Mytilus edulis: one gene and its partners. The protein of the gene in region 1 purifies or fractionates together with the protein of each later gene. This does not show direct contact. Links are inferred from orthologs where the notes say so. Each region holds a gene or a part of one and is shown in the gene's direction. Other genes may lie near its edges.

Region 1 (7,304 bases):
ATGTAGTGATAAATTCAGTGAAGAACAATACGAAGGCACTAGAAACTATTCCTAGCAACACCGATACATACAAGAACTCTTTCTTTGCCAAGAGCATACTTCACTGGAACCAACTGGAAGACCGTATTGTATGCGCAGATACCGTTGAGAGCTTCAATGCTGCTCTCCAACACCGTTCGTGATAGGTGTCTCTCTCCCGTTGAGTAAAAGCTAGAATTGGTGTCTTCAACGTACACATACACGGATACAGATGGTGGTCACAGACTTGCGTAAGTGGGGCTGGATTTAGGGAGCTACCATTTTTTTTTGGAGGGGCTAGTATCAGTATCAAATTTGGAAAAAAATGCAGGACAGGAGTTTTTAGTAAAGATCAGTAAAAATCAAGACAGGATGAGCAACTTGGCAAAACAAAAGGCTGGATGACAATTTATGTAAAAAAAAATCAGGATTTAATCCGATTAACTAATAAAAAGGCAGAACCGAATAGAGTGAAAAATAAAAAAAGTAGGATAGAGATTACAACTTAATAAAATGCAGAACAAAATGGTTACCCCCTCCCCCCTTAAAATCAAATGGTAGCTCTGTATCTGTATGTTACACAGTGCAGGATCCGATCGCGGATATATGCGCACTGGAAGGAAAGCGGGTTGGTTAGTCCAACCGTTGGAGGGCAGCCATGAATCCCTCAACTGTCTTTTGACATGCAATTTCCTCGTCCAGATGGTTCCACTCCACTATTGTTTTTGGTAAAAAAGAGTTCTTTTGAATGTCTGTTTTGCAGTCTATTAAATTGTACGATCGATCTGTTATTTCTGGTTTCTTGTCTTTCCACGATGTTTGTGTATTGAAAGTCACTAAAGGTTTTTGCCTTGACTTTTTTTTTATATAAATAAGGCCGTTAGTTTTCTCGTTTGAATTGTTTTACATTGTCTTATCGGGGTCTTTTAAAGCTGACTTTGCGGTATGGGCTTTGCTCATTGTTGAAGGCCGTACGGTGACCTATAGTTGTTAATGTCGGTGTGAGTTTGGTCTCTTGTGGACAGTTGTCTCATTGGCAATCATACCACATCTTCTTTTTTATATTGGCGTTTGTTTCTGGTCTTTTGCAGGTAATTAGTTGGATCAATAGCCGTCACCAATCCCTCAAACACTTTGTAGAACAAAGTCAGCCTCTGATGTTTCCTTCGTTCTTGGAGAGGTGGTAGTTTTAGCTTAGAAAGCATAGTATTTGTGACGTACCCGGTGTCTCTGGATTTATAATCGTGCAAGATGAAACGTGCTCCTCTTTTCTGTATACTTTCTATTTTTTCTATTTCCCTGATAGTGAATGGGTCCCAGATGACAGCACCGTTTTCTAGTACGGATCTTACCATGGCTAAGTAGGCAAGTTTTTTGCACTCTTAGGGGCACTGACGCAGGTTTCTTCTCAGGAACCCTAGTGTACAGCTTGCCTTGCTGGTTGTTTTCCCTATGTGACTGGTCCATTTTAGGTCATCAGATATGTTAAGACCTAGGTAAGGATTTGTTTGTACCTGTTCTAGTATGTGTTGTCTAGTTGGTAGAAGTGTGTTGATTTTTGTTTGAAGCTCATTATATAGATTTTTTTGCGTTAACTTTCATTTAGTGCCCATACTTCCAGAGCTTTTAGATCTTCTTGGAGAGTTTGATGGTCTTTTGTGTTGTTAATCTCTCGATAGAGTAGGCAGTCGTCTGCAAATAAACGAACTTGAGATTTTACGCTTTCCAGGAGGTCGTTGATGTGGCATAGGAAAATCAGCGGTCCTAGTACTGTGCCTTGTGGTACGCCAGAGTCTACGTGAGCATATGCTGAGTACTAACCTTCTACGACAACCCGCAATTGATAGTTTTTGCAGGAATGCTGCTAACCATTTGTTAAGATTACCATCTATTCCGTAACTGTTTAATTTAGCCAGTAGTTTTTCATGTGGCACAGTATCAAAAGTCTTTGAAAAGTCGAGTATAGCCATATCGAGTTGAATGCCACTGTCGAAACTCTTTAGTAGGTCTTCTGTTGTGACCACGGGAGGGGGAGGAGGGGGTAACTTCGATATTTTTTTGGTAGGGGTGTGCCATTTTTGCCTCAAAAACATACCCATTTTAATACAACATTCACTGAAATTCAGTACCTATAGTTATATAAATATTTAAGAAAGAATGATCTATACTTATATACAATATTACATATTATGAAAATCATATGATAAAATTATAAAAGTCTTGTTTATAAGTTAAAATCGTTTCGGAATAGCTGTTCTGTAAGATTCTCAATAGCATATTTATATATGATATGTAAATCATACCCATAATCAATATACAGTTATCAAACGTAAAATTAATGCATTTTAATATAAGATGTCATTAAAAAGGAGGGTCATTTTTATATAAAATCTCGCAAAATTATGACTCATATTTTTGGCACATCCCCGTATACCCAATAATAGGAAGTGACCCCCCCCCCCCCCCCTTGTGGTTGTGACTAAGAGCTGTGTTGTGCAAGGTGTTTACAGATGATGTGTTCCAAAAGCTTACATATTACACAGGTCAGTGAAACTGGTCTGTAATTCTCAGCTGCGTGGACCGTGGCCCCCTTCTTAAAATCTGGAGCTATGTTTGCACTTGACCAATCTTCAGGGAGAGTGCCTGTGTCAATTATTTTTTTAAAGATGGCGGAGATGCTAGGTACTAAACCTAAACTAAAAACTTTTAACCAAGCAGAAAGTGACCTACTACAGAAAGATCTGACATCATTAGAGGAATGGGAAGATAAGTGGCAAATGAGCTTCAATGCAAAAAAATGCATTGTAATTAGAATACATCCCAAGAACCGTCCGGTAATACCAACTAATTACAAATTACACGGACACACACTGGACACCGTTGAAGCTAGTAAGTACCTGGGAGTTACTATCAGCAACAATTTAACCTGGGACAGACACATCGACAACATAGTGGGAAAAGGAAACAAAACACTAGGCTTCATACGACGTAACTTAAAGGATTGTACTAAACCGGTCAAAGCAGCAGCATATTCAACAATAGTAAGACCTTCAGTTGAGTATGCTTGCACAGTATGGGATCCTACGAAACAGGCTAAAATAAAAGCAATCGAACAAGTACAGAAAAGAGCAGCTAGATTCGTAAACAACAACTACACAGACCGCACACCTGGCTGTGTAACAAAAATGGTAACATCTTTAAAATGGGAAAGCCTCGAAGACCGCAGGAAACAAAATAGGCTATGCATGCTGTTCAAAATCCAACATGATCTGATAGACATAGATAGGCACCAATATCTGACACCAAACGATAGCCGGACCAGAGGTAAAAACCGCTTCTTCCAAGAAAGGGCCACAACAGACGCCTTCGGACAATCATTTTTTCCAAGGACCATTAGAGACTGGAACCAACTTCCAACATCAGCAACATCAGCTGACACAGTTGATGGATTCAGAGCTGCCCTGAAGGCATGCTCTGCTAAAATTTAGACAGTAACATCCTGTAAATAGTTTTAATTGTATATATATAGAGAACGTTTTATCCTGTAAATAGCCAAGAGAAAACTTTCTGTGTTGTCCGACATTGCGTTAGTTTTCGCGGGACCTCATACATTCAAAATTTGAATTCGGTTCCTTACCTGGAAGAAGAAGAAGAAGAACCTGCATTGATGATGTCATTAATATATAGCCCCATTCACAGTGCTTTTCTAAATTGGCGTTTGCAGTCTTTTTGGAATTGTTTATATTCTTTGTAGCTTCAAGTTTTTCTAGCATGTTTGTGCAACCTTGCTTTACTTTTTAGCATTTTGCGTAGTTTTCTGTTTAACCGTGGAACAGAGTGCTTTTTCTTTATCATTTTAGATGGTACATTGGTCACAGTGTCAATTGTTGCCCGAGTGTACTACGTTCTTGAAGGTTTGCCAGGTTTTATCTATTGACATATCGTGTATATGATTATAAATGTACTTTGTTATGTTTATGTCCGTTTTAATCTGATCCCAGCTCCCTTAATCCAGAGACAAGTCACATATACACATATATATGTCTCTACTTAATCAGACTGTACCCGATGTTCTGTTTTCATAATCAGCTAAATCAAAAAAAAAGAATTTCCTAACCAAATTTGTTAACAAATAACCATGTTATTAAGAAACATCAATGCTTTGTTATGTTTTGCACCAGTTATTCGTAAACTGCATTCAAATGAGTCTTTATGTCTCATTTCATTAAGGAACTTAGCTGTCTTTGTTTTTCCAAGTGTTTAGCTTGTGTCATTTGTTATACCGAAAGACACTCTTCGATGTTGGAGGTACAAAGAACTATCATTTCCGGTAAAAATAAACGCATGTGAATTTTATTTTTGTATTTTAAAATCGCAGAAAATGTTAACAACAAAGACTTTTATCAAGAAGACAAAGAAAGGGAGTATTATAAAGATTGTGCGAGAACATTATCTCCGTGATGACATTACATGTGGATGTCAGAGTTGTACAATCTGCGACAAAAACGATGTCAAACCTTTGGAAAGCAAACCTGTCAACAAAAGCAAATTATGCAAGAAGTCACACTATCTTATCTTGGACACCAATGTAGTTTTTCATCAGGTATAAAATTTACAGGTTCTTTGTTTTTATTATTGAAATCCAGGGTAGTTACACCCACATTACAATGCATTATGGCACATACCTGTTTAAGTGTTTAGGATGTTGATTACATGGATCAAGATATGTTTCTTACTATTTAATATGAGGCAGCATTACCTGTAAATGGGGACGAAGTCTGTATGAATTATTTTTTTTGTAACTTAAATATTTGTTAAAAAAGAGAAACGGAAATACTGTAACGTTTCCTATTTTGGTTCTGTTGTTATTGATTTCAGTTGTGACGTTATTTAAGTTATGACGTCATATGCAATGTAAAAAAAGAAACGCTATCATCAGGTAATGTTTTTTCATATCAAGGAATTATTAAAAATGAAATTGGTATTGCGTTCCTTCCTATTTTATACTAGACTGATAAGTATATATTTTACTCAAAGTTTCATACAAAGGAGACCGGAGAAAGGAAGTACATTGTAGATTTCTGTGCAGGTGCGTGAATTTTTTTTTTTTTTTTTTTTTTTTTTTATTGATTTTTCTACTGTTATTGGGGACTTTGTCCCCATATAAATCAAGAGTGCATCCGCTGTTAGAATATGTGACATGTCTCTGGTAACTGTACCTTTAAAAGACATCCGCAAACTGGAATTTTTACAAAGAAGGGCATCAAAATTAGTAAAAAATATATATCATCTTAATTATGAAAAGACTACGTTCACCTTGGAATATCGTAGCCTAGGGATACATGTAGGAATGATAAGATACAAGTCTTCAAAGTGTTGCATGGTATAGATGACATCAACTGGATGAGCCTATTTTCTTTAGCACCATCTAATAATAATACTAGAGGTCACTAATTAAAACTTTGGGGGGCTAGGATGAAATTTGAAAAAAATAGGCAGGACAGGAATTTTGAGTATAAAAAAAAGAATGCAGGATGAGACACTTGCAAAAAAAAAAGTCAGGATGACAATTTAGGTAAAAAAAAAGTCAGGATAAACTAAAAAAAAAGAAGGCAGGATCGAATAGAATAAAAAATAAAAAGGCAGGACAGAGATTACAACCAAAAAAAAATGCAGGACAAAATTTTTCATCCTAGCCCCCCCCATAAAAATCAAATGGTAGCTCCCTAAGTTAGCATATATTTAAGAGTGATCTCTCTTCAACCTGTTAAATTAGGTATTGAGTATTGTGGAAACAGTTATTCCCATGATTATTTAAAGCTATCAAATGGATAAATGCTCTTTTTGTTTTGATATTTATTACAGTGGACATCTCAATTGATCAATTCCAATTGAAATATATACTGAAACAATTGCCACTTTAGAGATATGTGTTAAGGAATGAGCTCTTATCATTTCTTTTTACCAGTTTGTTTGTGAATGTTTTGTGAATGTTTGTTTTTCTTGTCAAGTGATTTTTCAGGTGCTTGCCTTTCACTTCATTCAAATTTTATGGTCCCAAGAAATTGTTTTGATATAGTTATATTTATGTATGCCATATGATGTAAAAACAGTATGTCTTCATAGAACACATATTATACATGTACATACAAGTATATATATTATTTTAGAAAAAAATTTAGCATTTTTTTAGCTATTTTTTTACACAAAGTCACACGCCCTTTCGGTTGGGATTTTGCATGTTTTGAAAAATGGTTGACAATAAGGGATGAACCCTTAAGAAACATTTATATAAGATTACATATGTCTTGAATTTTTCTTTTTTAAACCAGTTTTTTTTTAATTTTTCAGATTGATGTAGTTGAAGATCCCTCAATTCAGAATGTGATAGTTCTACAGACAGTTTTAGAGGAGGTAGGGTGTATTAGACTTGTTAAATGTTACAATAATAATATATAATAAATAAAGGCCTTTTCCATAATGTCAATATTTTTGCTTTTGTGTGGAGGGTTGTTCAGAAATTACTTTTTTAATCCACCATTTCAGCACTACAAAATTCAAATTCAGATTGAAGGTTCTTACAGGACAACCTACATTATTCTTATATTTTCAGTATCTCCCTCCTCTCTTTTCTTGTATTGACAAAAAATAGTAGGTTTCATGTGGATGTTTGAAATCATGGTTTTGCCAAAGTCTGCATTCAAGCCTTTTCAAAATTTAAAATGGATTCAATGTATATTCAAATTTACAGTTCACTTTTACCAATGAAATCCACGATATTTGGTAAGCCCGGAATCATGATGAATCCACAGTACATGTTAAATGATGTAATTAAGGAGGTAGACCTAGGTTAAGGGAAATAACTATTAAAATCATCAGTACGTTTGTGTCAACCATTTTCATAAATATATTCTAAGCTTCTAGGTTACATAGATTATTTCCAATCTGTTTCAGGTAAGTGCTTAAAAAACATTGATGAAACTTGACTTTAACAAACACATAACTGATTTAAAGAGTTGTCTCCCTGAACAAAGGTCTACCACCTTAAGTGCATATATTTACAAATATATTGTTTTGTAAAAGTTTTAGTACACATAGTTGTAAAGATATACGTATGTATATAAACATTGTTATTTTACTTTTAAGTTTAATAAATTAATAATTTACCTACAATGTAAATCTTTAACAGATTCGACACAGAAGTGCTCCTGCTTACAAGAGAGTCAAAGACTTCATAGCAAATCCAGACAAACATTTCTACACATTCTGTAATGAATTCAACAAGT
Region 2 (8,007 bases), on another chromosome or scaffold:
TTTGATTTTGAAATTTCTTAAACATAGTTTACATATATAAAATTATCAGCCTGGATACTATGTTAATTATATACAAAAAGCATTCCCCTGCATTAAATTTACCAATCTGATACAGGTAGACAGGCTGCTATTTCACATTCTGACTTATTAAGGTAGAAACACACAGTTAGGAGTGTAGTTTCCAATTTTGACCCTAGTGGATTTTTCAAATATGTTTTTGTACAATAAAATTTATTTTTAGACAGCTGATAACTTATCTAGCCTTCAAAGCTGGGTTATAAGAAGACAAACAGAAATCTTAATTTGAAAGAAGGCAAGTGAAAGGGAAGGTAAAATCTATGAGTATACAGGTAGGTTACATTCAGGATATTTGATTTTGATAACATCACCTTGTTTTCCTTGTACCTGCTGAGATCTGTAATACAATACTCCTTGAACAGTTTGTCATAATACTTCTTGGCGAGTCTCTTCTCCCTGTTGATACAAAAAATATTATTGAGTCTGTGTGTCATATGAACCTTTCAGTATAATCTCAATTAATGTATAGATGCTCTGTGATGTTTTAAAGATGTCAGACAGAATAAGACCAGGATGAGGAATATCATACTTTGGGCAGATGAAGAAAATGCATTGAAACCTGTCGAAACCAAATCTTGCAAACACCAAAAAACCTGGCTTCACCAAGTATGATCTTACGCCAAGTTATATCAAATTATATGTGTTGTGAACCTGATGAATCAGATAATCTGACAAACAGAACAAATCTTAAGTCCAGAACGGGATTGGTTCAGACAGGTTTCACTGTTCTAATAATTTGTAAGATGATTTCCCACATGACAGTTAAAAAGACACTGACTCTAGCATAAAATTGATAGCACAATCCTGTAAAACTTGAGAACCATCATATAAAATGTAGTTTAATGTAGATTCTTATATATGCACCATAATTGTCATATTTACAATGATAACATTAAGGAATATTTACTAGAATATTCAATAGTTTATGGATACACTATGTTAAATACCATGTTTCATCAGGATCATCTTCTTCATTCCATAGGAATCTGTGATGCTCTTTAATAACATCTATGTCTCTTTTATCTTTGGAACTAGAAATATATTTATCATTAAATCAAAACTCCAAATGAAATTTATGCAAATGAAAGATAGAGGGGGAAAAAAAATTCTTTTAACAAAGATGTAACCAATGTTCAAATCAAAATGATATCATAAATTTCACTTCATTTACATACAATTTTATATTCTAAAATGTAATTTGTGTTTAAATTGAGATATGACTAGGTTCAAATTTAAGTTTAAATTACATAGACATTTACCTTTGTAGCACCAAAAGCAAAATATGTTCAGAAATAATACTTTTTGTTTAATAAGTCTTTATAATAATGAGAACACATTTGAAGTGTCATTAAGAACAACTTTGGCAAACTTTCAAGAGTTGTCTCCCCTTCTTTTAGTAAGGATGTTTTTTTAATCTTTTAGCAAAATAACGAGTTGTAAGATTTATACAATTAATGCATACCTGTCTCTTTTAAAATCTGCCTTTGATCCACTGTAGTAAAGTATGTAGTCGTTAATAAACTTCTTATGACGTGCAAACTGATTCAATGTCAAGGAAAGTAAATAATGTTCATGAATATTCAAAATTAGTCTACATCAAAATATTATTTTTTGGTATTTCAAGAAAAATAATTTTAACATTTATGTTATATTTTAAATGTTATTTCAAAACAGTCTTCCCATGATATCAACCAATAGACTCATCTTCCTTTCAATTTAATCTACTAAATATGCTATGCCTTCACTTTGCATTTGTTGTTTGTAAATAAGTATGTCTTTAAACATCTTCTATTTTCATTCTATACCAACATAAAAGGATACAGCATCCATACTAAGAACATGAAATCTTTGGTTTTTCCATTCTTCTCTGAAATCAGAATAAAATGAAGTTCACAATGCAACATTTAAAAACAAATATAGATTAATGAATATCATATCTGCACAGTGCACTTAGTCTAAAATTATTCATTCTTGAGAGAAAAAATAATATTCCTCAATTTTTGTAAATGTGGAATTTAAGACCCGAAATATGATTGATGTGATCCCATAAAACAGATAATTCTAACAGTCTTAATTTGATGACGTCTAATATATATTATCAAATTGTGAATAAATCTCTACATTTCAATTTTCAGAGAGTAAACTACTTCTTACCAATTTCAAACAACTCACTAGCCAAAAACTAAGACATTACTTCAACTGATTTCTTTTATTATAATTTCCTTTTTGTAACAAATTATAAAAAAAAAGGTAAGCATTTTTTTCTGTTGAAATATAGCTTTGCTATGTTTACAAAATTATTTATGTAAACCAATACCAGTCATTTATAAGACATGTATTACCAAAGTAAAACTTAGTAGTCATGATTTAGCTATAGAATGTGGTCGCTATTCTGCAATTCCAAGAAGCAATAGACTATGTAGTTTTTGTAAAAATGACATTGAAGATGAGATGCATTTATTTTAAAATGTCCTACTTATCAAGGTCTTAGATCTTATTTAATAAAACCATATTATTGGAGAAAACCTTCTATGTATAAATATATATATTAATGAGTTCTAATAATCTTAGAGAATTATGTTATATGGGTAAATTTATATTTCGTGCACAAAAATTAAGATCTAACATGATGTAATATGTTTCACACATTACCTTCTGCTATCTATGTATACTTTGTGTAGTTTATATGTTGTATGCCTATAGTTGTTATGACTTTGGTAAATAAAGATATAATATAAGATTTTCCTGAAATTGCTGTAAGCTAGGTATGGAAATATTCTACTGTGAGACTTTTGCTTTGAGATCTACACCATCTTTTTCTGTGTAGACATATTCACTAAGTAGATTGTAAGATAAGTATAGGTTTTTGGAGGATGTTCTTTCTTAATTTAATTTTTTGAATTTTAAAAAAAAATATTAATATTAAACTATGACATTAAACATACTTGCTGTATTCTTCTTCGACATGTCTTTTGTTTGTTATCTTTTCTGATGCTTTCTTCTTTGGTGGCACTAAATCATTCCTCTTCTCTCTGAAGAATAAAATCAAATATGTCCCTTACTGCTCACAGAATCATAGATTTAAATTTATATCATCTTTGAGCATAAGGTAATAACATGATATCATTTTTAAAGTAAAGACAAACACCATTTCAACAATACATGTATCATAATGATATCAACATGTCATCACAGAGGTAAAATAGGAAAACTAGACAATAGTTACCTTCTCCTGTCTGCTTCTGAGTCATATTCAAATTCTGAATCAAGACCACCTCCTTGGTGAATCTAAAATTTAAAAACAAATATCAGTCAGGGGACTTACTGAAATAAATGATTTTTAAATCACTTATTTGAGTAGCAAATTCAAGGTTTTGTCACAAATTGGGATTTTGTAGTTTTTTCAAAATTTTAAACACATAGATTTAAATAATATCTTTAATTAGTAAAATTTAAAAAAAAAAAGAACTTTTTGCTTCTTTTAAGTAGCAAGGTTTATGCCTTTGATGCTATCATGTAGCTGAAAATTCTATTTTAGTTGAAAAATGCTATAATAATGGCTTTACATAATGAACTGACACTTTCTTAAAAGATTTTCCCCAGCAGTGGGAGTATTTTTCCTGTGAAGTTCAAGGTTTCATCTTTCAGATTATGTAATAAAAGAGGGACGAAAGATACCAAAGGGACAGTCAAACTCATAAATCTAAAACAAACTGACAACGCCATGGCTAAAAATGAAAAAGACAAACAGAAAAAAAGTGATTTTTATGTCATTATCCTTGATTCAGTACAAGGTCATCACCTGAAATGACCTGGTCATCCTAGACAACACAGATGTTGGTTCTGATAAGTTTAGAAACATAATTAGTCCCTGGATCATTAGTATTCTATATTTAAAGCTACAATAAAATTAAATCACTTCTTCTAGTGATTTATTTGTACTACTTAAATAGGTGATTATTGAAGAAAGACAACTCTAACTTCCAACCTTTATGGAAATAATGTTACTTGAATCGGTGATTTAGAAAATCACTTATTTAAGTAAGTCCCCTGACTGAATATACTTAAATGTAATCTCAAAGAATAAGACTTAATTAAGTTACATCAAATATCTACTTACATAAGCATCATGATGGATGCCACATGTGGAGAAAGATCTGCTTACCATTCCAAAGCATTTGAGGTGGGTTTTTTTTAAATTTTACTAATTCCTCAGTTTTTGGAAAGGTTCAGGTTGCTTATTCTTTGGTTTATTATACTGTTACATTGTATATTGTGTTTGTAAATTGAAAAACAAAGGATGAGAGGGAATTAATCCACATAAAAAAAGTATTTACACACATAAAATAAACAACTGCACTTTTGTTGTTGTACTTCATGTGGGTCTCATTTGGGTCTAAGCATGACGCGGAATTGTCAATTTTTGTAAGCGCGACATGTGAAAGTGAAATTATTGTGCCGTGAAGACGGGAAATGAAGTCTAGCAGGACACAGGAAATAACGACAATTGTGTAAACAGGATACGGGAATCTGACAAAACAGTAAGCGGACCCGGGATCAGAACCCCCCACCTCCAATGAGACCCCCCTTCATCCTGATGTTACAGTAGCTTGTTTTGTATATTTTATTGGTTTTTTTTAATGGTGTTTACCTTTGCAAGATCAAAAGATTCTGCCATATTAAGACATCAAATACAGACGGTATATTTCAAAACATAAGCAAGAATAGAATATTCATATAATATTGTTCTGCACTTTCACTTTTGTTTCAAAACAGGATATGCTTTGGACCATCTAATTTTGAATAGGGGTAACTGTGTCAAAATATAATATTTATCTAAATAAGTCTCTCTTTTTCCTGCGGTTTATATATGTTAAAATACATTGTAACAAACAAATAAAGAAGTAATTTGTAAACTAAGTCTAACTGTTCATTGTGAACAATACAAAAATGACAAATCCTACACCAACTTAAAACATTCACACCCATGAAATAGAACAATCCAATATGTCTGCGCCCAGGATTTGTGTTCCAGGTAAACATGCTCAAATTCAACTGATTCCTGTCATATTTTACAGTAAAGATTAAAATTTTTACGCACAAAAGCATAAGCAATTAATTTTCAAGTGAAGACATATCATTTTATGTGATTTAATATGAGGCAGGCATTACCTGGGAATGGGGACGAAGTCTATGGATTTTTTTTCGTCCCCATATATAAATGGCACTGGCTACGGTTACATGGAAATGTAACAATAAAAAAAATATTATTGTTACATCGGAGACAAAATTTCTTACAGCTATAGGAACGAACTCTGAAAAAAATGATATATCAAAAGCAAGGTTTGCTAACTGCTAAGTTGGATACTGAAATTTGAGGTAAACCTAAAATCCGTAATGGACGGCAGTGCGATCATATTGAAAGACGACATGAAACTATACCACATGCTTTCAACCAAAATATTGGATGAGGAAGTATTTCTCACCAGAAGCATGGCAAACATTAAAGGTTGCCTTATCTTCTAAAAGGAATATTGCAGAATAGAATTGCACGGTATGCAATACAGACGTTCGTAATGCGGCATCACTGGGAATCCGGGTCCGTTCGCGCCCATTCACGTTCGCACCCACTCATGTTCGCCCCCATTCACTTTCGCACTCTACATGTTCGCACCCAAAGTCCGTTCGCACCCTACATGTTCGCGCCCAATTTTAACTTTGTAATCAAGTAGTATTCTTATAAGTATTATTGTTTTCATTGTCTCAAAATAAAGTGATACAGCATTTTTTTGTGTTGAATAAATCTTTATCATGTTTTGGTTAGTGTATTACTATAACTTTGTTTCATTGACTTGTTTCAAAATGAAGTGAGATTCTGACTACGTTTTTTTTTTAGTCTTGAATAAATTTTATCATGTTTTGGTTATAATAGTGTATTGCTATATTTTATTGTTTCATTGTTTCAGATTAAAGGGACCAAGCTGTTAAAAACAATTATCTTTTGTGTTTTTCATTTATAATCTTCAATCTTTTACTCATACCAAGCTATAAATACATTCAGTATTTACACGAAAGCAATTAAAAACAACAATGATTATTCAACTGGAATTTGAATTAAAATTGGGCGCGAACGTGTAGAGTGCGAACGGACCTTGGGTGCGAACGTGCGAGGTGCGAACGTGTAGGGTGCGAAAGTATATTGGGCGCGAACGGACCTGATACCCATCACTGGTGTGTGATGGCTGCTTGGAGTGGATTCATCAAAAATGCATCGGACTTAAACATGCTCCAAAACCACTTACTCAGGATATGTAGAAACTGTCATTGTAAATACAAAAATAAATAAATTGTATGTAATAATTGTATGTATTGTAAATATAAAATAAACGTCATCAATTTTTATAAATTAGTACATCCATCTTACAAGTCCCATCGTACATTGCTGTTTCAAGTTCATGTAACAATAACGCTATGTAACCGTAGCCTCAATATTTATTGTTACATTCGTAATTAATCAGGTCCTTACCCGACCATGCATTCCGGTATTTAGTCTCCAATGTAACAATAATATTTTTATACCCCCGCTTTAAAAAAGGGGGGGTATACTGTTTTACCTCTGACTGTCCGTCCGTCCGTCAGTCAGTCCGTCCCATGAAACTTTCGTCACATTTTTCTCAGGAACTACACATCCACCCTTTCTGTAATTTGGTATCAACATTTATATAAGTCAGCTATACAGTGTGATGCGTTTTCAGATTCATCACTCGACAACTTCCTGTTTACCGAACACTTGTATGATTTTACACATGATAACCAAGTTGAAAATTTTCGTCACATTTTTCTCAGGAACTACAATACAAGGATTTCTGAAATTTGGTTTCAGGATTTATATAAGTCAGCTATACCGTGTGATGCGTTTTCAGATTCATCACTCGACAACTTCCTGTTTACCGAACACTTGTATGATACACATGATAACCAAGTTAAAACTTTTCGTCACATTTTTCTCAGGAACTACAATACAAGGATTTCTGAAATTTGGTTTCAGGATTTTTATAAGTCAGCTATACCGTGTGATGCGTTTTCAGATTCATCACTCGACAACTTCCTGTTTACCGAACACTTGCATATTTTTACACTATTAATATTATCCACTTGCGGCGGGGTATCATCAGTGAGCAGTAGCTCGCAGTTTCACTTGTTATTATTGTTACATTTCCATGTAACCGTAGCCAGTGCCTATATAAATCAGACTAAATCAAATACACAGTATGGCAGTGTAACCGGAGAGCACGAATTTCATTACAAAATTGCTTGTCTCCACCGGGACTCGAACCCGGTACCTCTGTGTTACAAGGCAGCGCGCTAACCCACTGGGCTAAAGAAGTACTTCCTTAGCTCAACCGCTTATGGCTGACTAGTTAAGTACCTACTTAAGTTTTTCTAAAGGAAGCAATCCTGTCACAGCAGTAACAAATTCTAAATCTAAATTGTCTCTATAAATTTTTGAAAATCATTTCTGCTATTGTCAGAATATTTTATGATCAATATCTGAAGTAAATGCCAAAATGAAGATACCCACATCAAACCCGTGCTGATTCATAGATAAGAATAACTGTTGGGATAGCCAATACACACAATTTCTAGTATTTTTATGCTCGCTCCATTTACTGGGCATTATGTTTTCTGGTCTGTGTGTTAGTCCGTTTGTCCGTCCCACTTCAGGTTAAAGTTTTTGGTCCAGGTACTTCTTGATGAAGTTGAAATCCAATTTATGGGCATTATGTTTCTGGTCTGTGCGTCTGTTCATTTATTCGATCATCCGTCCCACTTCAGGTTAAAGTTTTTGGTCGAGGTAGTTTTTGATGAAGTTGAAGTCCAATCAACTTGAAACTTGCTACACATGTTCCCTATGATATGATCTTTCTA
Region 3 (7,837 bases), on another chromosome or scaffold:
AAGAAATGAAATAGTATGACGAAACATACGAAATTGAAGTTATTTAGCTGTACGAGGAATGCATTCTAAAATCAGTCAAGTCGGTACTGTGGACGACAAGTGTGGTAAACTTATAGACATATTTGACAATAAAGCGTTGGAATCTCGTGTACACATGCACATGTTGTATTATAAATAAAATGTGTCTTAAGATTATTTTCAATGATTGCATTTTAGTTCCATTGATTTCTTTAAACCAATTATGAAATGTCAAAACTCTCCTATATTATATACATATTATCTTATCACTTGCATTAAACCAAAAATATAAAATTTTGAAAAGTTCAAATTGGTCAGAACTTCATTTTATTTTTTTATGAATTTGGATTTTGCTATTTTTGAAACACACGTACAATACATTTTGAGTGATATATATGGTTGAAATAAATAAATAATACTAAAGCATCACCGTATGTGATCAATTCAAACAGAAGTGGCTTGGGCTCTTCAAAACTAAGCAAAAGACTTCGATTACTGTACCTTCTGTTTAGATAAATATTTTAAAATTTCAGAATGAGTAATCATAAAACTGGAGTTGAACTTTAAAATGTTACTGTAAAGAACGGGGGGAAAAGTGTTATTTGTGTTAACTAGACATTTAGGATGAATCAAATTACATTATCATAGGCGGATCCAGGGGGCTCGGGGGGGGGGGGGAGCCCCCCTCTTTCGTGGGAAAAATTTGGTTGATTATATAAGGAATCACTGACACGTGACTGGAGAGGGGCCCCTTACATCAGTCAGCGGTCCCCCTTACAAAAAGTTCTGGATCTGCCACTGATTATTAATATTGTTCAGAGACGAAACATATTACAAGAAATCGTTTCAGCAGATGACCAGACATAACACTCTTTCCTGAAACTATGTCTTCTGCCAAAAAGACAGATCTCATAGATGTATTTAAGTTTATACGAGCGAGTGTGTCCTGGTGATGAACTAAAATGTATTTTGTGTATATGTAGTTTGTAGTCATATTTTATGTAATTAATGTGATGTCCTCTTTGTACCTTATATGTATTTGATGATGAGAATAAAGATAAAAAAAAATATAATGTGACTTTTTTTCACATTATTCGCAAACTCATTGCATATATATCTTAGGACAAAAAAGGGGGTAACTCCAGCACAATTAATCAATACGTCTTATAACTTTTCCAGTGAATGATCCAGAGGGGGCTTCGGGGGTTGGAACCCCCTTTTTTTAATGCATTTAAATAGGGACATGCAGTTGGAACCCCTTTTTATCCTGGGTTGTGAACTCCCCTTCAAAAAATTGCTAGATCCGCCCCTGATTTTTTTATATAAGAATAAGAAGATGTGGTATGCTTTCCAATGAGAATAATCTCCACCAGAGACCAAATGACCATGCAGTCATTAACAACTATATAAATCGCCGTACGTCTTTCAACAATGAGTAAAAACCATGCAGTTATAAAAGGCCCGAAATGACAAATAAATTTTGTAAAACAATCCAAACGAGAAAACTACCGGATTTATGTACAAAATAATGAACGAAAAACAAATAAGATATACAGCTTCAAACGACACCCACTGAATTACAGGCTCTGGCTTGGAATAAGCATATACCGGATGCGAATGGTTAAACCACGTCCACTTGTATTTTTGTCCATCTGATGAGTTAAGCCTTTTTCAACTGATTGTTATAGTTCGTTCTTATGTTGTACTGTTATACCACTGTCCCAGGTTAGGGAAGGGTTAGGATCCCGCTAACATGTTTAACTCCGCCACATTCTGTATGTATTTGACTGTCCGAAGTCAGTAGCCTATAATTCAGTGGTTGTCGTTTGTTGATGTGTTACATATTTGTTTTTCGTTTATTTTTTGTACATAAATTAGGCCGTTCATTTTCTCATTTGAATTGTTTATATTTGTCATTTCGGGGCCTTTTATAGCTGATTATGCGGTATTGGCTTTGCTCATTGTTGAAGCCGTACGGTGACCTATTGTTGTTAATTTCTGTGTCATTTGGTATATTGTGGAGAGTTGTCTCATTGGCTCATTGTCTAATTGCATGCAATGTATATGCTAAATGAACAGAAAAAAAACCTATAAAAGTTCCAGGCAATTGATGAGTATTATCAAACGAATTTCCGTCAATTCTCTTTGTTTGGAGCGTATGATTGTGTGTATATAGTACTTTACTTGTAAGGTTTCTCGACCTGTAGTAATATGTAATAAGAATTGACTGAATTTTGGTTGCTTATCGTCCAGTGGCAAATATTAGATGCATGAGATCAAATTAACAGTAAACGTTTATGTGCATCAATAAACGTGAAGAACCGTGATTGAAGTTGCGAGGCCTTTCATAGCTAACTGTACGGTAATTATCATTTCGTACGGATGTAAAAAAAAAACCGAAGATGCATAACAGTGGATTACATAAAGTTGAGAATAGAAACGGGGAATGTGTCTTAGAGACAAAAACCCGACAAAAGAGCAGAAAACAGCCCACGGCCAACAATGTCTTCAACACAGCGAATATTTGCCTCTAGACGTCGGGCAACCAACAATCAATCAATCAACACAGCGAGAAATCTCAACCCCTGTTGTCGGGATTCAGCTGGACTTTAGATAGACGCAGAAGGACTGTTACTAAATGTCGTCTCAATGAACCTGACCGTGTTATACACAGATGCACAAAGTACAAAAGTGCAACAGATTGAGATAAACTGTTTCTTTCATCTTTTGCACTGACATGCAAATATAAACACCAATTTGATAATTGTGTGTAAATAGTAAAGATGAAAATATTTGATTAAGATAATAGTGATACACACGGATCATGCGAAGGTATTGGATACAATTAATAAGACTAATATATTCAGTAATATAAACAATCAGAAAACTTTCTGGAAAGATGTAATTCAATAAAAGTTTTAATTTAACTTAGTATGAAAAAAGTAAAATCACAAAAATACTGAACTTAGAGGAAGATCAATTGGGAAAGTCCATAATCACATGGCAAAATCAAATAACAAAACGCATCAAAAACGAATGGACAAGACATGTCATATTCCTGACTTGGTACAGGCATTTTCAAATGTAGAAAATGGTGGATTAAACCTGGTTCTATAGCGCTAACCCTCTCACTTTAATGACAGTCTCATCAATTTCCGATATTTTTACATTGATGCGTTAAATAAACAGACATATAAAGAGATATAAGTGACTCCATCACTAAGACAAACCCAATGCATTTAGTATGTGTCTGTAATGAACATGTAATTAAATTAGGCCGTTAGTTTTTTTCTCATTTGAATTGTTTTACATTTGTCTCTTTTATAGCTTATGGTTGAAGGCTGTACGAAGACATATAGTTCCATATGTCTGTGCTATTTTGGTCTTTTGTGGAAAGGTGCCTTATTGACAATCATACCTCATTTTTTTTAAATTATTTATACTAGTTTGTTGTTATTTTAAGAGACTGCAATACTATGTTGGTTTGATAAGCTGAGATTTATTTTGTGTTTTCATGGTATTGTGTTGCTGTCGCATTGACGATACCTATATTATTGAGTGAACGTCGCTTTTTATTCATTTTCAGCACATCTTCACTAAAATAATAAAAAGCTGCCAGAGAGAGCTATACGGATCGATTTGACCTAAACGATAGGCATGAAAAACCTTAAACAAAATGGCAGCAATAAAAATGCCTGGTGAAAATGCAAGATATCTTTTTTTTAAATGAATATAGATATAAGATACCTAGTTCTTTGTTGACATCCTTATCTTGAACTACATTAATTGAAGCTATGTCGAAATATTTAAAGTGTAACGACGGGAGGTGTGCACCAAACGCAGCATGTGCGGCTGACAAGTAAAACATGTAAAAACAACATTCAAAATACTATAACAGGTAAACAAGTGATCATATATAGAATATGGAGAGAAATTGCCCATCTAGTTACGAATTTAATAAAGATGAGAAAAAATGAAAACAACACGTTATACGTTATATATTTATTTCTGTATATATAAATAGGTACGAAAAATTATAAACGGACAATTTTAAATATGTTATAAATCATGTAGGTATCGAAGTACTGACTACTGAACTGATGATATCCTCTGGGACTGATAGTCCACTAGCAGAGGTATAATGACTCAAAGAATTAAAACCAATACGTGAATTGTCCTTCTGACAAGCGGTTAAACCAGAGACATATATCACAGCCAGGGTTTTTTTTTTTTTTTTGGGGGGGGGGGGGGGGGGGGCGGACCTACCACTCAGTCTTCTTAAATTCTATCAGATTTTTTTTTTTAAAGAAGTAAATATTCCTATGATATTTTATTTTTTGTTCACTTATCATTTGCCATATTTTTTGCATTATATGAGATACATATAAAAAGCGTTAACACATAAAATTATTCGAAATCATTGACGTTACAACGTTAAAGAATCATGAAAATAAAAATAAAAGGGGGGTCCTTCCAGAAACATCTGTCTGACTTTGAAATAAACATAGGGAATATGATTGATAGATGAAAAACAATTACATTGTGTATAAGTCAGTACTAGTCTATACATCTTTTATCAACGATACACACATTCGATCAGGATACACTTTTGATGGCTCGTAATTCATATCATATCTGTACCGATATGTAGAGTATTTTAGACATTGATTTAGGTTCGTAAAATAAATGATAATAAAAAGAATATCTGCAATACTTCTAAAAATATCATTTGATTGAAATAGAAATATTTATTTTTGTTTTAAATTTGTTCTGTGGAATGCTTTTTGATCATTTTTTTTCTGAAAAGTTCGAAAATAATAAACAACAACAGAACACGTGCAAAATGTCAGAAGAAAAACAAACTGAAACTGAAACAGAAGAGTTTCTGCCTGGTTTCGACAGCCTAACTAACTACACACAGGTCATTTGTGTTTAAACCTCAATGAAGCAAATGCTTCTACTCATGTGTATCCTTCAGGCTTGTTATTTTAATTTGAGAGAGGTGTATGGAGTTGGCATCATTTGCTAATTATAGTAATTTTTAAGGTTCATGTGGACCCTTTGGCTAAAATTGCCGTATTTTCACATCAAAATTTACTCTAAGTACAGACAAACCTGAGTATCTGTAAAAGTTCAAAGGCATAGAAGCTGCCTCCTGGTGTGAGGCAGTAGGATGTTCTTGCTTTGTTGGAAGACCCAGTGGTGACTGTGTTGTTTTCTTCTTTTTATTCAAGTTGTGTTTGATATATTCCCTGATTCCATTCTCAGTATTTATTGATGCATCTAAATGGTCCAATTCATATGAAAAGATACCCAACATGACTTAACCGGATACATATTGAACAAATCAAAATATTAAGTTGCATTTATAAAAAAAAATATGACAACACTATGGAAAATCCTTGTAAAAGTAACAGACCCTCACCTATATTAAAAACCAACAGATGTGGTCTCAGGTGCTCGAGGACGGTTAGCAAATCAATGCAGGATACTGTACCTTCAGAAAATGGCATAGCCTGAACATGTTGAACACAAAACAAATGTAGAATCCCAAAAGTCTTGAAATCAGGTGCTATCACAACAAATTATCCTACATGTATATAATTACTTTGAGTGCTTTCATATATTTGATTTATAAATTATATATTTTCAGCAAGCACTAAAGACAGCTTTACAAGCTACCAAGTGTTCCAATGATTTACCAGCAACAGGAGATGACTTTGATTATTACTCCAGTTATCAAGGTGTCAGAGAAGTGTTGGATATTGAAGGCAACAGGATTCTTAACATGTAATTATAGATACATACATGTACATGTAGATAGATATAAGTCGATGTAGTATGAGTGCTAATGAGACGGTTCGTCATCATGGTCACAATTTGTAAAAGTAAACCATTATAGGTCAAAAGTACAGTAATCAACACAAACTAACTATTTTTAGCTCACCTGGCCCTTAGTGAGCTTTTCCCATCACTTGGCGTCCGTCGTCGTTAACTTTTACAAAAATCTTCTTCTCTGAAACTACTGGGCCAAATTAAACCAAACTTGGCCACAATCATCATTGGGGTATCTAGTTTAAAAAATGTGTGGCGTGACCCGGCCAACCAACCAAGATGGCCACCATGGCTAAAAATAGAACATAGGGGTAAAATGCAGTTTTTGGCTTATTACTCAAAAACCAAAGCATTTAGAGCAAATCTGAAATGGGGTAAAATTGTTTATCAGGTCAAGATCTATCTGCCCTCAAATTTTCAGATGAATCCGACAACCCGTTATTGGGTTGCTGCCCCTGAACTGGTAATTTTAGGGAATTTTTGCTGTTTTTGGCTATTATCTTGAATATTATTATAGATAGAGATAAACTGTAAACAGCAATAATGTTCAGCAAAGTAAGATTTACAAATAAGTCAACATGACCAAAATGGTCAGTTGACCCCTTTAGGAGTTATTGACCTTTATAGTCAATTTTTAACCATTTTTCGTAAATCTAAGTTATCTTTTACAAAAATCTTCTCCTCTGAAACTACTGGGCCAAATTAAACCAAACTTGGCCACAACCATCTTTGGGATATCTAGTTTAAAAAATGTGTGGCGTGTTTCGGCCAACCAACCAAGATGGCCGCCATGGCTAAAAATAGAACATGGGGGTAAAATGCAGTTTTTGGCTTATAACTCAAAAACCAAAGCATTTAGAGCAAATCTGACATCTGGTTAAAGTGTTTATCAGGTCAAGATCTATCTGTCCTGAAATTTTCAGATGAATCAGACAACCTGTTGTTGGGTTGCTGCCCCTGAATTGGTAATTTTAATGAAATTTTGCTGTTTTTGGTTATTATCTTGAATATTATTATAGATAGAGATAAACTGTATACAGCAATAACGTTCAGCAAAATAAGATCTACAAATAAGTTAACATGACCAAAATAGTCAATTGACCCCTTAAGGAGTTATTGCCCTTTACAGTTAATTTTTAACATTTTTCATAAATTTTTGTAAATTTTTTGAAAATATTTTCCACTGAAATTACTGGGCCAAGTTCATTATAGATAGAGATAATTGTAGCAATAAGAATGCTCAGTAAAGTAAGATCTACAAACACATCACTATCACCAAAACACAATTATGTCATGAATTTATCCGTGTCCATTGTTTAATATGCACAAGACCAAGGTGAGCGACACAGGCTCTTTAGAGCCTCTAGTTAAATCTGTATTAAATTAAAAAAACAAGAAACACTTATGAATCACATCAGTATGTATATATGATTTAAGACATTTAGGGTTGTACTACTACTTTATATTATCATGATTATATGACAAATGACATATTAATGTAATTCATAAACTTTTATGTTTTATGATTTTTAACCGGATTTTTGTGACAAAAATGTCGGTTATTGATTTGGGGATGTACGGCGGGCGGGCGGGCGGGAATCAAATGTTGTCCGTGCATTAACTCATGAACCGTTCAACCGAAGCTTTTAAAATTTTAATATGTTGTTACTGACAACTAAATGAAGGTCAAGTTCAATAATGGCGATTTTGACTTTTACCGTTCAGGAGTTATGGTTCTTGAAAGATTGAAAAATGGAGTTTCCAGTCGTGTTCGTGCATTAACTCATGAACCGTTCAACCAAAGCTTTTAAAATTTTAATATGTTGTTACTGACAACTAAATGAAGGTCAAGTTCAATAATGGCGAGTTTGACTTTTACCGTTCAGGAGTTATGGTTCTTGAAAGATTGAAAAATGGAGTTTCCAGTCGTGTCCGTGCATTAACTCATGAACCGTTCAACCAAAGCTTTTAAAATTTTAATATG
Region 4 (7,415 bases), about 51 Mb from region 1:
TTTATCTTGTGCTAGATTAAAACAACTTCTAAAGGTTAAGAATTTGTTTTGTAACAATTGCAAATGTTAAATCATGTGTCCTTTTGAAATTTGTATCAAACAACTGGAATTTGGAAACTTTTGTTGTGCATGTTCCTCAACAGTGGTGTTGGTAGCATAAGACGACCTTCCTTAGCTACAGCCACTTTGTTGTATTCTATTTTATAGAACATGGTTAGTCTAGCGTCTTTTCTCCTTTTTCCCATGCAGAGATGGTCATTCCTGCAGGTGCTCACTCATTTTGCTGACACTTGAGTGATTATGGTGTTTGTTGGACACATTTCTTGCTGCTCGTCTCTGGACCATTTCTAGACAATCTATTTTTGTTTTAAAGTATGGGTCCCATACTGGACTTGCGTACTCTATTAATGAATACTGGTGTTACGTTCGGATTGGGGCTATTTCTGTAGCCAGTTCGTTGAGTAGTTTAGGTTTTATATTATCTGGTCCAGCTGCTGTATTTGGATTTATTATTTTTCAGAAGTTTGAGTAAACCATTTTCTGTGATGTTGAGTTCCTCTGCTAAGGGATATTGACCTGGCATATTGCATCTGGATTTAAACTCGTATTCATTGTATGTGTCCTTGGTAGAAAATTTGAACGACGGAGCTCTCTTTGTACCATTCTCTTTGTTTCTTTAAGTTTGGATGTTATTGCAAGTTCAGCTGACTTTCTATGTTTTTGTACAATCTGTCAAGGCGTTTTTTAAGTTTGCATACTGATGGTGTGAGCCAAGGCAGGCTGTCTTTTCGTTAAGGGGTTTTGTGCGGGATGTGATTTATCACACTCTGGTTTAAGTTGGTCTTAAAGACTAAACAGAGTTCCTCGGATGAACTGCAGTTTGCAGCTAGCTATATATGGACCATAATTTGGTATTCGGCCTTTGGTTTCCTTTTGTATCCTTTTTTATAAGTTCTAAAACTTTAACTTTTATTCTGTGGGTTGTGTTGGTGTCAGAATAGTATTAATGGAACAATTGGGTTTTTCAAGAAAAAATTAATACATTCATGACATTTTGATTCACCGTTTACGTGACAGGAAACCAAACAGGAAACCAATCTTTATTTTCTTTATTTTGCACAATATATTTCAAAAGACATAAATGAACACCATTACTAGTGTTACTTGATTCATGTTAATATTCAAAATCTATTTTCAATGTTAAATTAAAGATTTTTTTAAACGCAACAGGAAACCATAAGAAACCGAAAGCATTTTTTTAGTTTTATTTTATTGCAAAATCTGCTTAAAATAATCTGAACAGTATACTTTTTCTGAAAATCCATCTTAAATGTAACAGTATTATAAAACTCCTAAATATGTGCTTGTTTTGAAAACAATTAGTACAATTTATTCAGAAATTTCCATATTTTCTTCATTGATACAGGATACCATAATCGTTGTATCTTGATGTTTTAGCCAAAAAAATGTATTTATAGATGGTTTTGAAATTTCAGTTATATACAATTTATTCCAAATCATTGGCAATGTAAAATTCTTTAAATCCAGTAAAGAAATTTTTTTTAACTTGTAATTAAAATCTTTAAAATAGGCACCATGTGATATTTGTGACCTGTACACCATCTACATGCTTTCCACATTTTAACCTACTTTAGTGGGCTAAAATCAATAAAGTACTTCCTTTCAAGTCATGCATGGTAATATTTACTTCTCCTTTGACAAGTTTATTGCGTTTCTGAAAAGTGTTTGCAGAACATGAATAAAAAAAAAATAATTAAAAATTGTGACAAAGATATAAACTTTGTACATTCCAAGTGTAACGGTATATTAACATGTATTTTTTATTAAATTATCTTTATTCACCTAAAATATCCAGTAATATTTACTGCTGAAGCAAAATCAATCCAACGACCATCTGCACAATGATAAGAGACGTAATGTCGATTGAATTTTCCAAGGACTCTTTACATCGTTATCCGGAAACGGAGTGTGTTATAACGTCTGTCAAATCTGAAATCGATTTTGTCAAGTCTTTGGGCATTATTTTCACACAAGATCGTATGTAACATTATGCACATAGGAAAAATAATAGACCCCTGGCGCAATCTCTTTGAAAATTGTATTTTCCTTTTTTAAACAAGACGAAACAAGTCTACAGATTATGTTTGCTAACATCCCGTTGGAAACAAAACAATGTTTAGACCTATAGTATTTCATATATCCGGCCATAAGGGCGTGATCACATGTTAGTCACATGTTTCACATATGACCGGAAATGATTAGAACTTAACGACAAAAACAATTTTAATAAAAAAAAAAGGAAATAACTGGACTTCTGTTTCGTGTGAAATGTAACGCATAACGATAACGTCCTTTTCTAACTTAATTATTACGAAGAACAAAACTAGAATGTAAATCATCTCTGATTTACCTGTTTGAACATCTCGCGAGAGTTCATATTTGCATATTGTTATAAAGAATTCTATTACAACAAAGCAGATAACATCATCTAAAATTTGCGTTGCGTAATGGGAAACCAAAGTAACGCTAGTGTTCTTACACCTGCTACAGAAATACTTATATAGTTCTCGGCATTTTCTTTTGACTATTCTTATTGGTCGATGTTCTTTATTATTTGAAAGCAAAAGTTACGAATTTGCCGGTGACGATTATCTATAAATCAGTCAGCGTTATGCACTTCAGAAGCGAAAAGTAACGCGAGAAACGACACACAAATACGGTCGTATAATCTTTGAAATTTGTTAATTTCAATTTTTTTTCTAGGGAAGAGTAGCATACACTTGTATGTTGATAAAAAAAAAGGCATCTTTAGATGTAGTTACAACTTTTCTTACAGTAATACACATTTTTATCACTTTTCTATCGTTATAGGAAACGAGCCCAATAGCAAATTATGGTCCATATAGTTCTTTGATCTTTTGATGGTGTTGTCATGCTTTTAATCAATATTATTAACCCTTTCAACGCTACACAAAAAAATAGAAAAATGGCTGCTGCTGCTGCATTTTTTTTTAGTACATTCATTAGAACAGTATTTTCCTTTTCAGACTGCTGTATCTTTTTTATTATATGAGATACAGAGAAAGTTATTGCATGAAAAATGCTCAGGAGAGCATGAACTGTAATGTTAGGCAATTATTTTACTGAAATTTTTATCAGGTTACCTGCGTTTTCAGGTAATTAACAGGTAAAAGGTGTAATTTATTACATTTGTGTTGAATTTTGAATAAAAACTACTTTTAGTCTTCATTTATTTTGTTGTTTTATCTGCCATATTGTAAAGAAGACACCAGTTGCCCGATTTCGTAGCGTATTGTACCATACATAACGTTTTATGTAATCGTGGCACAAATAAATAGCTCCGTCAAAAAAAATTTCAGTCAACCTCCGTTTTCCCCCCTTTTTCTACGTCTCGTAATGATCGATCAAATCATATTTCCCACACGAATTTTATGTAATAAACACATTGAGATAACAAGAAACCTTTTAACTAATCCTTGTTGTAAGTTTCGCCAAGGAAATGCTGAAATTTTTCCATATTTACAGCTTCGTTTCCGATTTCCGCCATTTGCATTTGTCAAAATATTTGTTTTTATTTTCCTTCTATTTTCCTTCTACTGCATGATTTTACTATAAAAATTGTCGGGATTTCAAGCGCAAATGAGACCTTGCATATCCTAGATTCAAACGAGGAAAAATTAGAGAGAACCCGAATGAAAACCGAATGGTTTAAGAGTCCTTATGAAAAATCCTTTTTCATCGCGGCATATGCCGCGAATAGCAGTGGCGAACGGCGTACGTCATCGCGGCATATGCCGTGTATAGCGTTGGAAGGGTTAAGTTATAAATTATTTATTTATATGAACATCTTCAATATTTTATTTTTGATTGTACTGTATTTTTAGTGCTTGATATTGTGATAAAAAGATTTTAAATTATTATGAAGATTTTTTCATTCTCTACTACCATGACTAATCACATCAACATGATCAATGAACAATTTTATTCAGAGCCGGCTAAACAAATTTGCTATTTTGCCGGTGCCGGTAAAATAGCCACTGCCTTTGCAAAAAGCCATTTTATTAATAGAATTTCTACTTTCAATTATCATTGTTTCAGCTTCATTTAGTCTATCAGTGGAACAAAATGTATGTGAAAGAAATATCACATCTTTTTGGATAATCTGATTCAATGAGGAATTTCAGGTGAATAAACATGTTTTTGTTCTCTCATGTATGCTTTTTCTGTTCGTTTCGAGGAAAATAGTGTATTCTACTACGAAAAGTTTTGCTTATAAGTCTTACAGAGGGTCATCCATTCTATAAAGAAGGAATTTTAATGTGAGATTTGTTTGGGATCACCAGGCACAGGGCGCCGACATTTTCCAATTGTTGATGACGTTTTTCGCATTCTTCACACTTCCGGTTTATTTATTCTTACCATGCTTCCCTGTTGATATTAGTTTTATGATAAAATCATGGTTGATGCTTTGTTGAGTGATGCTGAGAAAGTGTTTATTATACATGGCATTCAGGTTTTATAAGTTCTATTCACTATTTAATTCTTTGTACGAAAAATATTTCTGAAAAAAAACCAACTGGCAACACATATCATCATAGTGGAAATAATTATGACATTCTGGCAAGGCTGTTTTATTTTTGTTCTGGGACGCCTTCCTACGACACGAAGGCGTCTCAGAAAAAAAATAAAACAGCCTTGCCAGAATGTTATAATTATTCGAACTACACATATATCTTCTTATTCTTCTTCTTCTTATGGTATCCAGTTATCCATCAGATTTTTGATGATTACTAACTGCTGCGCATGCGTAGGATAATAATAAATAGATATTTACAAAAGAAAAGTGCCAAAAATAAACAAATACTAACATGACATGTGGTTAAAACTATTTACATAACTACTAGGTTTACTGTTTTATATTGTAGAGAACAGTAGGTGTCAACTGTTCTCTAAAAATATTTAAGGTCGGAGAAAGTACTACCTTTGGAGGTAGTACATTCCATTGTGTAATAGTAAACGGAAAAAAGGAATATTTGTAACAGTCTTTAAATGTAAGTATGTGTCTGTAAGTTTGTGGATGGAATTGTCTGGTTCTATTGTCTGTTGGTATGAGTAAATCTGATGGTATGGCGACAATATGGTGAACAATTTTATAGAACATTATAAGTCTAGTTTTAAGTCTGCGTTGTTGTAAGGTAGGCCAATTTAAGGTATTGAGCATGTCTGTAACGCTACTGGTGTTGTGGTAACGATTTCAGGCATACCTAGCTGCCCTACGTTGAACCATCTCAAGTTTATTGCATTGTTCAGCAGTATGAGGGTTCCAAACCGAACAAGCATATTCTAGTTTTGGTCGGACAAGTGCTAGGTATGCCTGGGACTTAATGTTTGTGATTGATGTTTTTAGATTTCTTTTTAGAAATCCTAGACTTTTATTTGCATTGCCAATGATGTTGTTTGTGTGCTGGTTTCATTTTAGGTCAGATTGTAGTGTTATACCAAGATATTTAGCTGCGGAGACAGATTCTAGTGTATGACTGTGGAGAATGTAGTCTTTTTTAATTGTATTTTTCTTATTTGAGGCTGTGAGAACTGTACATTTGTCTGGATGGAAAGCCATCAGCCAGTCTTCTTCCCACTTTGCAGCAGCATCAAGATCTTCCTGAAGACTATCACAATCTTCCTTAGATTTGATGCTTTTGTAAATGATGCTGTCGTCGGCGAACAGTCTGAGTTTACTGGTTTTCAAATATTCTGGTAGGTCGTTTATGTAAACCAGGAATAGAACTGGACCCAGAACTGTTCCCTGTGGGACACCAGAAGTAACTGGAGCAACGTCTGATGACTCTCCATCCAGGACAACTGTTTGTGTGCGGTTTGATAAAAAGGCAGAGATCCAGTTAAGTGTTTCATTTTGTATTCCATAGAAGTGTAGTTTGTATAAGAGTCTTTGATGTGGGACTTTGTCAAAGGCTTTGGCAAAGTCCATAATTACAAGGTCTGTTTGGGTGTTATTGTCTGAATTTGAAGCCAGTTCTTGTATAAAAGATAGAAGTTGTGTTTCACATGATCTAGAGTGTCTGAAGCCGTGCTGGAGGTCGTATAATAAATTGACATATATCACTGACATATACGCTGGAGTATATACACTCAAATATGAGTCCACTCCTTGACGGGAAGATAGATAGATAGACTGCCTGGATTTGTATTGTACAATAATTGATTATTTATAAATGATCCATTATTTTCAGTGTCGTTTCAAAAGTTAACATAGCTCTCACAGCATGATTAACAGGACAGAGTATGACGTCTTGAATGAGGGTAGGGGGTCTCATTGGGGGCTCCGATCCCGGTTCCCGCTTACTGTTTTGTCAGATTTCCGTATCCTGCTTACACTATGTATGTAGGCAATTCTCATTTTCTTGTCATTTCCCAGGTCTCGCTAAACCTCATTTCCCGTTTTCCTGAGACAATAGTTTGATTTTCACGTGTCACGCTTACAAAAAATCGGCAATCCAGTGTCACGCTTATACCTCAATGAGACCCACAGGGTAGTTCAAATAATTATTTGACATCTTGACAGGCTATTATATTTTTTTCTTTGACGCCTTACCTTGCAGGAAGGGGTCAAAGCAAAAGTTTAGAATACCCTTCCAAGACGTCATAATTATTTGGACCAGAATGAGGGTAGTAATCATTATCAGTTTAGTTTAAACATATTTTATTTGCGTAAATGTTCAAAAGGGATGAGACACAAGTTAATCAAACTTATAAAGTCTTCTCCCATCATTATCAGTCAGGGGACTTACTGAAATAAGTGATTTTTAAATCACTTATTTGAGTAGCAAATTCGAAGTTTTGTCACTAATTAGGATTTTGTAGTTTTTTCAAATTTTTAAACACATAGGTGTTAAATAATATCTTTTAATTATTAAAATTGAAAAAAAATGAACTTTTTGCTTCTTTTAAGTAGCAAGGGTTATGCCTTTGATGCTATCATGTAGCTGAAAATTCTATTTTAGTTGAAAAAATGCTATAATAATGGCTTTACATAATGAATTGATACTTTCTTCAAAGATTTTTCCCAGCAGTGGGAGTATTTTTCCTGTGTGTTCAAGGTTTCATCTTTCAGATTATGTAATAAAATTCTACTGTTCGCGATAAAAATTTCACTGTTCGGGGATGTTAAAATTAGTGGAGGTTTTTAAAATAATCAGTCAGAGCTCAGACATAAATAAGTCTGAATCTGCATTTGACTCATAGAGGTCTAAATTTGTAAGTTTTAGGATTTGTCTCCCTTTAATGCAAGACAAAATACGACTTAAATAAGTCAAATATTGTTAAGCAAGAAATAATTGACCAGAATCAAAATA

What was found.
Region 2: the proteins of exosome complex exonuclease RRP44-like (region 1) and exosome complex component CSL4-like purify together in Drosophila melanogaster (affinity purification with western blotting; 3 studies listed by BioGRID, with this or other methods). This does not show direct contact. The link is inferred for Mytilus edulis from reciprocal best matches to the Drosophila melanogaster genes Dis3 and Csl4.
Region 3: the proteins of exosome complex exonuclease RRP44-like (region 1) and exosome complex component 10-like purify together in Drosophila melanogaster (affinity purification with western blotting; 3 studies listed by BioGRID, with this or other methods). This does not show direct contact. The link is inferred for Mytilus edulis from reciprocal best matches to the Drosophila melanogaster genes Dis3 and Rrp6.
Region 4: the proteins of exosome complex exonuclease RRP44-like (region 1) and exosome complex component RRP42-like purify together in Drosophila melanogaster (affinity purification with western blotting; 3 studies listed by BioGRID, with this or other methods). This does not show direct contact. The link is inferred for Mytilus edulis from reciprocal best matches to the Drosophila melanogaster genes Dis3 and Rrp42.

The regions. Positions count from the first base shown.
Region 1 is NC_092348.1:60,052,990-60,060,293, reverse strand, and holds the start of exosome complex exonuclease RRP44-like, read left to right. Parts: upstream 1-4,295; 5' UTR 4,296-4,399; coding exon 4,400-4,621; intron 4,622-6,369; coding exon 6,370-6,432; intron 6,433-7,207; coding exon 7,208-7,302; intron 7,303-7,304.
Region 2 is NC_092347.1:86,019,428-86,027,434, forward strand, and holds the start of exosome complex component CSL4-like, read left to right. Parts: upstream 1-5,007; 5' UTR 5,008-5,085; coding exon 5,086-5,113; intron 5,114-8,007. Other genes in the region: protein FRA10AC1 homolog, read right to left, coding at 390-474, 1,026-1,109, 1,541-1,617, 1,900-1,945, 3,024-3,110, 3,305-3,366, 4,730-4,756.
Region 3 is NC_092356.1:21,512,303-21,520,139, reverse strand, and holds the start of exosome complex component 10-like, read left to right. Parts: upstream 1-4,816; 5' UTR 4,817-4,861; coding exon 4,862-4,939; intron 4,940-5,671; coding exon 5,672-5,808; intron 5,809-7,837. UniProt on the Drosophila melanogaster protein: Catalytic component of the RNA exosome complex which has 3'->5' exoribonuclease activity and participates in a multitude of cellular RNA processing and degradation events.
Region 4 is NC_092348.1:9,393,506-9,400,920, reverse strand, and holds the start of exosome complex component RRP42-like, read left to right. Parts: upstream 1-4,412; 5' UTR 4,413-4,498; coding exon 4,499-4,555; intron 4,556-7,415. Other genes in the region: palmitoyltransferase ZDHHC3-like, read right to left, coding at 4,326-4,339.